3 linked regions of the Coturnix japonica genome follow. The main gene of each other region encodes a partner of the protein of the gene in region 3 in a complex. Links are inferred from orthologs where the notes say so. Each region holds a gene or a part of one and is shown on either strand. Other genes may lie near its edges.

Region 1 (4,563 bases), on a different chromosome or scaffold from region 3:
CAGCTGTACTTTCTCAGCGCTTATTCAGCTGTGAACACCCTGCCTTCAGGATGCAGTGTTTGGAGAGCAACAGGAAGTCACTGTCCTCCAAGTTCACTGCCCCACAGTGCAGGGAATGCGGGAAATCAAAACGTATCTCATTCTCTCGGGATATGCTTCAAGCATGAGTCCTTCCACTTGGCTCCCTTCAGCACCTACCTTTGTCTTTCTTCTTGAGCTTCTTGTTGCGAGTTCCTTGCCTGAGATAAGAGAGGATCTGTGTCAGCTTGCTGATGACGATGTCATTTGTGGTCAATGTAGTCTGTGCCTGAAAGAGAAATGCCCATGGCAGTGGCTGACTCTGCAGAGGGCAAGCCCTGCTCCAGGCAATTCAAACCAGCACAGTCAGGGGAGCTGGACACCAGCTGGATACCTCCATGGTGGGGCAGTCGGCCTTGCTCCGGATCAGCGTGGTGGGGATATCAGTGTCAGCGTACTCATCATCCAGATCTACCACATAGGCCATCCTCCCCGGCAGGAACAGCTCATTCCGCTCGTAGGCTTTGCTCTTGAACAGAATGCGGTAGATATTTCGACCTGGAGGGAAAAGGAATGCTCTTAAGGTGCTCCTAGGAGAGCAATGGACAAGCCCATAAAGAACTGTGTTTATTTGATCAGAAACATCAGAATCAGTTCCTAAGAGCCACGGTTGTGCTCTCAAGTTCATTATTCCTGAACCCTATATGCCTCCTTCCATCCGCTTCAGCATTTCTCTCACATCCAAAACACAACACAAATAAGGGCACAGCCACGTGCACACAGCCTTACCCAACCGAGTCTTAAATTCAATTTTGTTCTCAGGATCTTCATCTTTCCTGGAAAGACACAGAAACGAAGCATGCTAAGCACTCACCCCCTCTGCATCATCCCCTCTGAGAGGCAGCTGCACTCAGCAACGCAAAACCCTCCACCACTCACTTGGTTTCTTTCTGAGGCTTCTCCATCATCTCCTCTTCTTCCTTCTCTTTGCTGGCAATCTCAGCCCGCACCTACCACACAGAGTAGATCCGTGCATTACAGACCACGTCACACTGCTGCCATTCATTGCAACAACAAAGGCCACTGCCACAAGGTCCCCAGCCGTTCATAAATCCTTCCATGCAAGGACAATGCATTCCAGGAATGCGCTGGCAACACCACAGTATGTGACAGCAGGAACCACCACCCCCTCCTCACCACCTCTGCCAGCTGGACAGGCCACGATAACAGAAGAGCAGCGTGGTGATACCTGTACTCACCTTCTGCAGCAGGGCAAAGTCCAGACCCTTCACCAAGTGAGTGTGCTCCATGTCACCACCCAAGAACTTGGACTCCTGGATCAACTGTCTCCTCTTCTCTGCAGCAGATTTATCCCTGTGCAACAAAAGCGGAGGCTGTTACGGGGCAGCTGCTGTGGAGCAAAGTGTTAAAAGAAGGCCATGTCACAAGCTCACGTACGCCTCTGCAGTGGGCCCCACAGCCCTATAGTTTGCAGTTGTACTGATCAGCTCTGTTTCCTCGTAGTCCTTGTTCACACCATCTCTCCTCTCCTTGGCTCGATCCCTGTACTTCTCAGCCAGTTCTCTTTCACGCTCTATCTCCTGCTGGCGCAGCTTCGCATAATAGCTGAGGTTGGAGAAACAGCCCAACATTAGTGACACATTCAGTGCTTGATGCACTGCTCGTGCAGCACCCTCTAATGCCCAGCACACGCCTGTTCCACTCTCCATCTCCTCCCCACACACAAAATAAAGCACTGTGGGATACAACATCTCAGATAAGATGGAGCTGTTGTAATGAGGAGCTCAGTCTTCCCTTCCAAAAGGAAAAGATGAACGTCCTTTCAATGCTTACCTTTTCTTCTTCCTTCTACGAGCAGCTGGATCTTCATCTTCATTGTACTCCCGGGGCATCCTGGAAAAGGGTAAGAAACAACAGCTACAACCTGCACAGCATGATGGGAGAGTCCCAGCTGGACATCACAGAGCCCAAAGGCAGGAACAGCACAGTCCAGTGTGTCAACGAGGAGAGGAGGCCAAAGCTCATATCTGCACTTGGCAGAATCTGATCTGCTTCTTAAAATCCATGTAAAACATTCTAACAGCTCTGAGCCACCAGTTTCTCACATTAAGTCCAACAACACACACGTGCAACTTGCACACCCAGCACAAAGCTGGGTCAAGCTCTGCTCCCCCATCCCTACATCCACACTTACTAGCATAGTAAAATACTTTAAATACCCCACTGTGGAGCACGGGGTTATGGAGCCAGGCAGCTCCATCACCCTTAGGGCTGAATGCTGTGCCCACAGCGCAGTGAACGACCCCAACTCACTCATGGTGCCGGGATTTGGATGGCGGGGCCGATGTTGGCGTCGCCCGCGGGGTCATGAGCAGCTTCCGAAAGTCTTCATTGGTCAGTTTGGACCTGGGGGAAACGACAAGAGCCGCCATCAGCTCCCAGTACGTGCAATGGACCGGCGGGTCGGGGGCTGTAACTGTGTGCAATGTCTGTGTGCAGTGTCTGTGTGCTGCAGGGCAGTGCCTGGTGTGCAGCACTCGGGGCTGTTCCGCCCGGTACTCACTGGTGGAAGGAATGGGCGTCGTCCACATCGTGCCCATCGGGGGCCAAAGGGTTGGAGAACGGCTCACCTGGACGGGACGGAACAGCGCTCAGCAACGGGCTCAGCACCAACACCAACACCAACACCAACACCAACACCAACACCAACACCAACACCCCCCGTTCCCCTCCCCCCGCTCCTCTCACCGTCCCGTTCCGGCATCGCGGCCTACTCCTCTCCCCTCAGCTGTCAAGCCGGAAGTGCTGGAAGTGCCGGAAGTGGCCACTTGGCCGGAAAAACGCTCCGATTGGCTGAGAGCCGGGGTCACGCTCCGATTGGCTGAGTGCCGGGGTCACGCTCCTTGTGCTTCCGGCGGAAGAGCTCAAGATGGCGGCGGCGGCGGTGAGGGGCATCGGGGGCGGGTTGGGCCGCGGGCTGAGGGAGCTGCGAGTACATCTGTGTCAGCGATCTGATGGCAGCCGGGGAGTCAGGTGAGACCGGGACCGGGACGGGGGCTGTACAGGGTCGTATAGGGCTGTACCGGGCTGTGACGGCTGCTGCCCTTGGCAGGGAGTTCATCGAGCAGCACTACGTGACGCTGAAGCAGGCGAACCCCGACTTCCCCATCCTCATCCGAGAGTGCTCCGGGGTGCAGCCCCGGCTGTGGGCGAGATACGGTGAGTGAGTGAGTGAGAGTGAGTGTGCTGTGTGCTGTGTATGGTGTGTGTGTGCTGTGAGTGTGTGCTCTGTGTGCTGTGAGTGCTTTGCTTTTGTCCCAAAGCCGCCAGCAGCAGCTCAGTGCCTTCCCCAACCTTCCCCCCCAGCTCAGGCTGCTCAGGGCCCATCGTAGAATGGCCCCCCCCCAGCTATGAGCAGCACTGCCCCCTCAGTGCCCTCCGGGTGAGGGGTTTCCTCCACACATCTGGCCCAAGTCTCCCTGTTTTAAAGCCTTCCTTCCTTGTCCTGTTCTCATAAAGTGTAAGAAGTGGCTCTCCATCTTGCTTGTAAGTTCCCTTTAAGCACTGGAAGGCTGCACTGAGGTCCCCCCAGATGTACTCACCTTTCAAATAGGAGAACCCTAGTGCCAGCACCAACCTGCAGGTATCTGTGTCTCTTTGTGATTTGCAGGAAGATAGAGCCCCCAGTAAGGGCTACTATAGGAGCAGTGAGTTTTTCAGCACAGTTTTTCTGAGGGGGTTGTGATAGTCTTTACATGAGCCAAAAGCCAAACCGGGTTGATCACTTTGGGACATCACAGTGGCCTCTGCTCAGCTGCAGTGCCCTGATTTTAAGAGGTGAGCAAATGTGGTAGGGTACGTTGGTTTCTCCAAGGGATATCACTGAGCAGCGGGGTCAAGAAAGGTGGAAAGAGTAACTAGGGCACGGGAAGGACCTGGGGACAGCAGGGAGCTGAGGGGTGGTGACACTGGCCCTGGGAAACCCAAAGCGAGGCCTTGGTTCACCCTTCAGCAGAACAATAGAATGAAGCCCAACCCTCCCTCTTTTCTGCAGAGTTTGGCAAGGAGAAAAGTGTGTCGCTGCATAACCTCAGTGTGGACGAAGTGGCGAAGGCCTTGGAGAACATTGTGAAAGGCAAGGTGTGAAGACAGCCAGCAAACACACGGAATGCTTTACTTGCAATGTTTAATGTAAGATGTGTGTCCTTAACTTAATCACATAAATGTACATGCTTCTCCTGAGCATCGCTTCTTGGGTTTTAAAACTGTAGCAGTAAATCCAGCAGTGTTTGTACACCTCCTCTGCAGCAACAGGAACCTTTCTGTACTGGTTGCAGCTCAGCTCTGCCCCTGCCCTACATAGCAGGGAGGCACAGGGCACCTTGACAGTGCTTACACCATGACCGGGACACCATGACCAGCATTTCCTGTAGGGCCAGCACTGCTGCTTGCAGATAATCTGACCACCCAACGAGCCCTCAGGCAGTGGTGCAGGAGAGCAAGGCACGGGGTGAACAGTTTATT
Region 2 (4,745 bases), on a different chromosome or scaffold from region 3:
ATCTGAACCTACAGATGAGACTAGAGCACGAAAAATACCTATTAGGAATCAATATGAATTGGTCTATTTAACTGATAAACTGCCAAACAAGTTCTTTGGTCCCACAGACAAGACAACAAAACTACTGCTTGTCACAGCACTTCTAGATGTAGAAGGCAGTACCACCAACAGCATTTCTATCCACATATAATACTTAGATACTAAGAAAGATGGTGCTCCCGCCAGATCTACTGACTAAATTCAGACACGGGCTTGCCCTGCAAGACCTCTAGAGAAAATATGGGTGCTGCAGAAAATTAAAGCAGCAGCTCAGTCAGCTAAGTACATTCCTCTAAATCAGAGCTGTTTGTCAGCACACTCTGCTGACATCAGGGTGTGCTGGAGATGGTGTTTGCAAAGGATCCAGCCCCAAAACCACACAGCCGATACTCTCCATTGGGTCCATACTCTGACACACTGCAACCGCAAGCATCACGTTCTTGCATTTCCCTACAGTCTTTCTACTACTTCATTGGCAGTTCTTCATGACTTGCCCTCACTATGATGGATATTATTGAATACCTAGAGAGCGAGCATCTGCCTTGTCAAAGGACGAAGGACACTAAGGGCTAATTTTACTGTAACACAAAAGTAAACATGGGTGGTGATTCTGTAGGCCTTATGGTACCATATATGCCAGTGGCATGATCATACCATGTATGGTATGATCACGGACACAGTAAGAAGCTGATCCTGCCACTGCCTTTGCAACGTCTAAAGTGTCTCTGCTGCTGATAAAACTTTGGCTGAGAGATTTAGTAAGATAACAGCTGAAAGTGGTAACAAGCAGAGCGTGGAGGAAGTGAACTGTGAGTATGCATCGTAAAGCACACAAGGATCCTATGGGATACAGAATCGAGGCACTGCTCGCTACCTCAAAGTGCTCCACAAACACTGGGAACCACCGACAGAAAAAGAAACATGCAAGGAAATGAAAACCAGTGCCAGTTCTGGGAGAGGAACCCAAGCATCCAATGTCCTAACATTAATATCACTTGCTCTAAGTCCCTTTAAAGATAAGCATAGCTATTAAACAAAGACATAAGCAATTCTACAGGAGACTGGATGACAACGTACATCTTTTTCCTGGATGGTGCACTCCTTGCAGTAGTAGGCATCAGACACCCCTGGGCCCCCGCAGATGACGCAGCGCCCTTGGTACGAGCCGTAGTTACACTCATCACATATGCGCACCAGGGTGCAGGGCCGCACGTACGAGTCACAGATCACACATTTGCCATCACCTGCAAGTACAGCAGTCTTTGGTTACAGAACGTCCTTTTCTCCACCCCACATAAAAGAGGAAAAGTCTGCTGGACAAAGAACTTGCCTGTATGCTCAAAGACAACGCAGTTAGACTGCAGAACTTTAGCTTACAGGCACAAGGTGCAACTTTATATTTACACAGACTTCAGAGGAACGAGGGCCAACAGCCAGCCATATCCAAGGCCAAAAAAAGGGCAAACCGGCATAAATTGCCACTTCACAGAGTTGCTCTTGCTTTCTCACAAGGGACTGAGAGAAATACAAGTGCTCTTATCATACAGGCAAACAGCCATCAGATGCCATGGACAGTCTCTGCTCTGCGGGCCCCGATCCAAAACTCTGACCTCCAGATGAAAGGCTTCAGATCTTATTACCAGTTCCCAAGGTATTTAATCCTGACTCTCACAAACAGCTCATTTAACCTGCTCTTCAATCTCAGTCCCAACTGCCCTCAGCTACTACCACTGGGAATCCATTTAACTTCTGTGTACTTCTGAAAACAGTTCAGTTGCTTCAGACTGTGCTTCTCCTCACTTCGCTTGTTTTTAACATTTTTTGGAGCCTAGAAATAGCTGGCTTACTTGTACTGAGCTCCTGCAAGGATCTAATGACCAATTGTGCTTATTCTTTTCTGCTATAGGTGAGCACGAGCACAGAATTATAGGGGTTGGAAGGGATCTCCAGGAATCAAGTCCAACACTTTGGCCAAAGCAGGTTCCTTGCAGTAGGTTGCATAGATATTTGTTTTTGCATATTCATCTGCTGTAGCACTTTTTTCCATCCATTTCCCATTCTAACAGATGCTGAAGGGAAGCTGTGCGGTCTTTTTCTCGCACTTGCTCCATACACTCAGGCCAACACACAGGTCACTCCTCCCAGCCCAAGCTGCAGTTACCTGCTATTTCTATTTGGTTGTGACCCCAAGTCAGCAGCAGAGCAAAAAGAGAAACCGAGCTGCAGGCACTTACCACAGAGTTGGGTTCTCAAACAACTACACGCAGAAGATGTACTTACATTTCTCACAAAGCCTTCCAATTGCTGTAAGGGGAAAAAGAATGCGAAAAAACACATATTACTTGAGGCTACATTTAGAACGCAAATACAAGCGACGCCTGTCCTCAGGGCACACCCACCCGGCCCACAGTCCCTCCGCACGGTGTCCGGCCAACGGCTCCCACCGGCCATAAGGAAACCCGCACTCAGCGCCGCATCGCGATCCCCAACCACATCCCTGCGGCCTCGGGGAGCGCCACGAACCCCGAGCTCAGAGGGCCGAGGGAAGAACGAGGAGCTGCGCGAGGGGCCTGACGGGCACCTAACGGGCACCTAACGGGCTCGAACTGCCGCCCGAGCCCACCGTCAAGGTGCGGAGGGCCACGACCGCGCCGGTACTCACCGACGCCCGCCTGCTTGCGGCAGAAGATGAGATCCGGATGGTGCTTGGCCATGGCGCCGGCGACACTTCTCGGTGCTCTGCCGCCGTGTCCCGGTCCTGTCAGGGGTGTGGAGAGCGTCCGACAAAGCGGCGCTCCGGGAGGGGACACCGACCCGTAACCGAGCTCCGCATGGTGCTTCAAACCCAATCCGCCTCGCTGCTCCCTTCAACGCGGGGAACGCCCGTACCCCCGCCATGGGAACGCCGCTCTCTCCTCCGGTACCTCCCTGCCAGGACCCGCTGGACCCCGCCCCCTTCAGCCTCCTCCCGCGCCAGAGGTATCAAAAGGGCGGACTGACGCCATCGGGGCGCGACTTCATCTTTGTCAGTGCACAAAATGGCGCCGTACTGCGTCCTGGCGGCTCGGCTGCGGGTGAGCGCCGCGGGACGGGCGGGGCCGGGCGAGGCCGGGCTGGGCGGTGGGGTGAGGGCCGCTGCAATCCTGGACGGAGGGCAGAGGGAGCGCGGGGCGGCGGGCGGAGGCGTGGGGCCGGGTCTCCGCTGTCTGCGCGTGTAGGTCAGCGCGTCCCCGGCGCGGCCCGACGCCCGTTTCCATGGCGATGGCGGGGCCGCACCGGCGGAGGCGGCTCGGCCGCCTGATGGGCCTCGGTGTCGGGCGGGTCCCGCCGCCTCCGGGCACCGCTGAGCCTCAAGGTGAGCGCAAGGTGACCGCGCCCGGGTAGGCCGAGATATCGCGCCTGGGGCCGTGCTTCCTCCTTCCGCGGGCTCCTCCTCATCTCGTGCCGTTAGCAGCCTGTGCCCTTGGCTGCCCGGCTCCAGGACTGCGGCCTTTCATGTGGATGGGAGTTCCTAGATCTGTTTGTTAAAGGGGCCGTGCAAGGCCAGGCGGCCACATCAATTATCTTTTTATTATTATTATTTTATTTTCCAAATGGCTTGAATCTACCTTCATAATGACTCTCCCAGTCTTCTCCATTGTGACCTCTAAAACCCACGTCTGCTTGTGCCCATCACGGGCACTACAGTACTAAGGGCATTATCCCGTTTACTATCTACTCACTAATAAACACTTGATTGTTTTTTAAAGCCTAGAAGGCAGTAGAATGCCATTTTCTCATGTAGTGCTGCTTGCTGTGCTGCCCTCAGTACGTGCCACATGGTGAAGCTGAGAGCTCGGACTGCTCCATTTGCCAGCTGTGACCTTGGGGAGGGTGTTCCCTCTACCCAGGGAGCTGCAGCAATAACCTTATCAGAGAGTCACAGAATAGCTCAGCTTGGAAGGGACACGTGAAGGATCGTTGAGTGAGGTGCTTTGAAAGCACTTTGTGAAGAAGGCAGTGGGCGTAATACCAAGCTTGCCAGAGTTCAAGAAGTGTTTGGACAATGCTTTCACACATAGGGCCGGCTTTTTGGGTGGTACCACGTGGAGCCAGGAGTTGGGTTTGATGATCTTTATGGATCTCTTTCTACTCAAGATATTCAGTGATTCTATGGTTCTTACTCACATTTTATGTTATTACTTTGTTGCTCTCGGTGCAGATGTCTTAGAAAAGGACTGTTTTTTAAAGTAAAACTTACAACATGGCATCATTGCAGTTATCTCAGTGTATTCATCGTTGACTGTTAAATAATTGCTACTTTGCACTTTGAAGAGAAACAACTACTGATAAAACATAAGCAAATATTTTATTAGGATAATGGGTTGTTTCTCCTTTTATGGTATGTGCAGTCACGTCAGGTCAAGTGGGTGTGTACTTAAGTGGATATGTGTCAGCACAGCAAATGCATGAAGTTTAGACCTTTGGGAGTATTATATTATTAGATTCAAAGTAGGCTTTTTTTTCAGTTTAAGGGACTGTTACCAATCATTCTGGCTGGTTGCTATAGGAAGCAAATAATAGCTTTTCTCATATGTAGCAGTCTAGAGATGTAATGATAACATGACTCATCTTGCTAGTTGCTGCAGTAGTGCCAGCACTGAATGTGGCATGTGCTATTAATGCTGGTTCTGCTCATCTCCTCTCCTAGAACAGGCTTTTGGAGC
Region 3 (4,087 bases):
TTCCGATGAAACATGTTCTCCCCTCTATGCCAAATCCTACAAATATTTTCCTTGAACCATGCACGATAACTCTGTTGACCCTGGCTAGAAAGGAGATGGCCATGAACTGCATCAAATGGTCAAGAAGCACGGGGCTCCTTCAGTCTGCTAACTGCAGCAGCCAAGGTGAGTTTCTTCACCGTCTCTGTGCAAAAGAATCTGTGCAGAGCTTTCCCAGATAAACTGAACATACAGTCACCAGGTCAGATGACTCCAGGTCAGGAGGCAGGGCAGCACTGCACATTACTTCCTCAGAAGTATGGGACTACCAACAAGAGCGGGGCTGTTTATGAAAGAGCAGGCTGCGAGGCAGGCGGCTCCATAATTAAGTCATTCTCTTTCCCACCCTTACCCAGAGCTGCACTGTGAGGACACTTCCCCACCCTGCCTGCCAATAGAGAAAAGCAGGATGCTGCACCTGGGGGCTGGATCGATACCCCTCCAACAGCTCGACTCACTCACCGCTTCTTGGCCTTGCATTCGGACTCGGAAGAGCTTCACAGGCCGTGAGCCCAGGTACCTGGTCCTGGTGTCGGAAAGATCACCCGTAACTGGATCCAGGACAGTTCGCAGCAGCACACCATTCTTGACATCAATAAATCAGAAAGTTGGATCACAATTACGGATAAGGAATAACTAAATACAGCTTTCATGCTACTCAAAACAAAAAATTTCTGAAGAATGAGGCTTTTGTTTGCCTGGCTTCTGATACAATTCCCTCCTACAATTATTCTCTATCTAACTAGGCTCTTAATATTACAAACCATAGCTCCTGTGCACTCCCCAAGGGGTAGCGAGGAATTAGTTTTAAAAATATAAGATAAAATAAAGGGAGACCGGTAAGTTGGGCACATCACAAAAGCCACAGAAATAACTCCAGGACTGACTCCATTTCCTAATCCCTCTCATTACAAACCATCTATCCAAAGAAAAAAAACAACCCAACCATGCTGCTTGAGTGTGCATTCTGACATGAAACTTGAGACTGCTCCCATTATTTTTACCACATGTTGAATTGTCAAAACAACATTTTTGGTTAAGGATCACAGAGTCTGCACTGTACGCAATAGAAACCATGCAGCAACAGATTTATTAGAGCAGAGCCTGCGGTTGAGGGCAATCACTCCTTTGATTCTCTGCCCTACAGGCAGTTCATTTCACCCAAAAATGTTTAGAATTTGTCTTCCTTTTGGAAGAGGAAAAAACTACCTTGTCCTACATGACGTCTGAGAGAATATGCTGCCTTTTGACCAGTGTTCAGCCCAGGAACATAAGGGGAAACTTGCAGTTCTGCTAAGTCATAAGGTGAATTCCCCACTTACAGTCGTTAAGCATGTTGTAACAAGGAGGGAACACTCAGGCTTTGTGCTGCACTGTATGATGACATGGCTACCCGAGCAATCTGCCTTTCCAACAAAAGCTCACCAATGCACACCTGCCAGAGGTAAGCAGACACCTCTCACCTGCAGTCCAATGTTCAGGTAGAGAAAGCCAATGGAGCCTCTCTCCCCCAGCTCGTCCTGTTTCTCAGTGCCACCCATCTCCACGATACACAGTGACTCAGGCTGTGCAGGAAGGGCCTGCATACTCAGTGGCTGCAAGCAGTCCTGTGAGAGACAGAAAGAAGGGTAAAAAGGAGTCACAATAGATGCTGGCTGCATGGATTTTGGCAAGGAAGGGATGGTAACAACCCTGTAATCTGTGGAAGACAAGTTGGATCCTTTCAAACTGTCCTGGAATCGTTTGTTCAGGTTTCTCCATGCTAAATAACTGCAAAGTCTGCATTACTTCAGTCATCCACTGAACGCTGATATGATGCAGGCAGAGAAATGATAAGGCTGTTTTGCTGCTAACTTGCTTGGGTTCACTTTTACTAAAGGTAGAAACAGTGAGATAAGGGGAAAAAACCAAAAAGCAGAAAATGCTTTTATATCTTATCATCTAAACTCCCAGACATGAGTAAGACTAGATAAAACTAGAGAATCTGTTTCTGGATAGGATCAAGGGCCACAGTTCCTCCCAGCTCTGCAGAGGAGAAAAGTCATACAAGCTATTCCTTCCCAGTCACCTGCTTGAACACAGAAAGACAGCACGCAAAGCCCAGCTCTGGAGCACTCTTCTGAACATTCGAAGCCAGGGGAAGAGGCAAAACCAGAATGGCTACTCACTGAAGGGTCAAGGGAAATAATCCTGACAGTGTTGTCCACCAGCCCGACAGCAAGGAACCTGGAGCGCTGCTCCCCAGGTGGAACATTGGCCAAACTCATGCAAACTACATCGGCTGACATCTCCTTTCTTTCAGTGTACTCATTCAGCTGTCCTGACTGAGACAGAAAAACACAAGAGACTCATTAATTAGGTAACAGAGCAGACCAGCACCAAAATGTCTCTCCGAACATCTTTGGTATATTAATTTTTAAGATAGCATTTTGGATTTTATTTCTAGCTACAGTTCAAATAACAATAGTAGCAGGGAAGTTTATGACTTCCAGCTTCACTTATGAACTTCAGAGGCTGTAATTAGCCATTAAGTCATCTAACGCAGACACAGTCCAGACTTGATTGACTCATTCCAGAAGGACTCTTCACTACAAAATCCTTTCCTGCAGGTTTGATGGAGGATCAGTATCTGCCAGGCCCCATAATCTGCACTGTTCTTCTAAACTCTTTCACAACACTAATGCACGTACCGGGTCCATCTCAAAATAAACCAGCTCTCCTCCAGTCAGTGCTATCACTACTTGTCTCTGGTTCACAGCACATTTCACAATGGTTTTCTTCCCTGGTGTCTTCCATTCGTTTACTCTCTTATCTGCTCGGATGTGCCGGATGCCATCAGGGTATACCTGAAAGAAAAAAGGTCACATTCATTCCTGTATTTACCATCCCTTCCCAACTTCCACTTCAATTCTGATTCTGACACAAAAGCCAAAAGAGAGCATCACTTCTGGCAGCACTGACTTATTAGCAATGCAATAGAATGAACTAGGACAAAGCCACTTGCCAGCTGGAAGCATTTTGTCTTTGAACTACAGTGAAGAACTACTGAGCGCATTCTGAGGGAGCTCAGAGCATTTTCAGCTGGTCCAGTTTAACTACCAGGATAGAAAAGGGTGAGACCAAGTATCATTCTCTTCCAATCCACACCTTTTGACACGACATATGATGTACTACTGTAAAAACCACAGCTGTGCAGCAAGCAGCCACCGGCAAATGTATGTGGACATGCCGGAAGCAGCTTTCCATTACCTGTACCAAGGCATCATCCCCCAGAAGAGAGCAGGACAAGGTGGGTGTAGTACCCAGGAATCCAGAGTCAGTCACTTCTTCTACAGTCTCTCCGATAGACAGCACCAGTGTGGCGTTTACGAAGGACACAATGATATAGGCGTCAAACTCATCTGGTCAAGGGAGACAAAGGGAAAAAATAAATAATAAAAAAGGCTGCTGATTAAAGAAATGCAAGTCCTCCCGCTGAAATTAACAGCCTGATGAATGTCTAGCAGCTGCTCTTCAGCAGAATTCCTGTGATAATTACATCTGCTGGTAATATTGTGCAAGTTCGTCCTAGGACACCCTGTGCAAAAGTCATCCAGTGCTCGACTCCAAACAACGCAAGACTGAGCTGGGGGAATCGAATGATGATACAGTCAATTCATGATCTGGAATCTGGCAAGCTACCTCCTGCCTACTCTCCCTTTCTCGCAATGATAGCACGGGGTCTAAAAGCCTTTAAGACACTTGCCCCATCTCACACGAGGAAATGAATCCAGATTTAACAGCCAGCGAAGTCGAATGAAACACTCGACTCCAGTAAACCAAAACAGATGGGATCTATTTGCAGAAACTGCACCACGGATTCTATGAACAGGACTTTGCAAGACCACATCTCTTGTTTGTATCCACATAAGAAAAGGCCGAAAGCAGCTGGAGCAGAGCAGCTCAGGGCTAGCCTGCTCTACCCTCACCCAGAAGTTCAACTAGCTTTCATTCACACAGTATCCATATGGATTCCCAGGATGAGAAGCAATTATATTTAAGATAAAGG

Evidence for each region. The genes of interacting proteins can lie anywhere in the genome.
Region 1: SF3B3 (region 3) and IK share a complex: the UniProt entries of both Homo sapiens proteins name them as parts of the spliceosome B complex. The link is inferred for Coturnix japonica from reciprocal best matches to the Homo sapiens genes SF3B3 and IK.
Region 2: the proteins of SF3B3 (region 3) and PHF5A are in contact, whole or in part, in a crystal structure (PDB 7B91), measured with the Homo sapiens proteins. The link is inferred for Coturnix japonica from reciprocal best matches to the Homo sapiens genes SF3B3 and PHF5A. Residues at the interface, in NP_036558.3 of Homo sapiens: Gly85, Arg86, Gln104, Glu105, Thr106, Phe107, Gly108, Lys109, Ser110, Leu140, Ile154, Ser155, Ser156, Pro157, Glu159, Ser1162; in NP_116147.1 of Homo sapiens: Gln14, Ala15, Gly16, Val17, Arg44, Asp47, Glu79, Asp81, Arg82, Asp83.

The regions. Positions count from the first base shown.
Region 1 is NC_029528.1:15,122,232-15,126,794, forward strand, and holds the start of IK (protein Red), read right to left. Parts: upstream 2,911-4,563; 5' UTR 2,804-2,910; coding exon 2,788-2,803; intron 2,670-2,787; coding exon 2,603-2,669; intron 2,446-2,602; coding exon 2,353-2,445; intron 1,933-2,352; coding exon 1,873-1,932; intron 1,645-1,872; coding exon 1,477-1,644; intron 1,393-1,476; coding exon 1,278-1,392; intron 1,029-1,277; coding exon 958-1,028; intron 855-957; coding exon 808-854; intron 577-807; coding exon 413-576; intron 308-412; coding exon 199-307; intron 1-198. Other genes in the region: NDUFA2 (NADH dehydrogenase [ubiquinone] 1 alpha subcomplex subunit 2), read left to right, coding at 2,969-3,072, 3,152-3,258, 4,094-4,185. UniProt on the Homo sapiens protein: Involved in pre-mRNA splicing as a component of the spliceosome. Auxiliary spliceosomal protein that regulates selection of alternative splice sites in a small set of target pre-mRNA species. Required for normal mitotic cell cycle progression.
Region 2 is NC_029516.1:45,262,696-45,267,440, reverse strand, and holds the start of PHF5A (PHD finger-like domain-containing protein 5A), read right to left. Parts: upstream 2,911-4,745; 5' UTR 2,754-2,910; coding exon 2,702-2,753; intron 2,586-2,701; exon of another isoform or gene 2,491-2,585; coding exon of another isoform or gene 2,439-2,490; intron 2,344-2,438; coding exon 2,320-2,343; intron 1,284-2,319; coding exon 1,117-1,283; intron 1-1,116. Other genes in the region: ACO2 (aconitate hydratase, mitochondrial), read left to right, coding at 3,078-3,113.
Region 3 is NC_029526.1:908,950-913,036, reverse strand, and holds part of SF3B3 (splicing factor 3B subunit 3), read right to left. Parts: intron 3,441-4,087; coding exon 3,289-3,440; intron 2,886-3,288; coding exon 2,730-2,885; intron 2,364-2,729; coding exon 2,208-2,363; intron 1,647-2,207; coding exon 1,503-1,646; intron 625-1,502; coding exon 502-624; intron 1-501. UniProt on the Homo sapiens protein: Component of the 17S U2 SnRNP complex of the spliceosome, a large ribonucleoprotein complex that removes introns from transcribed pre-mRNAs.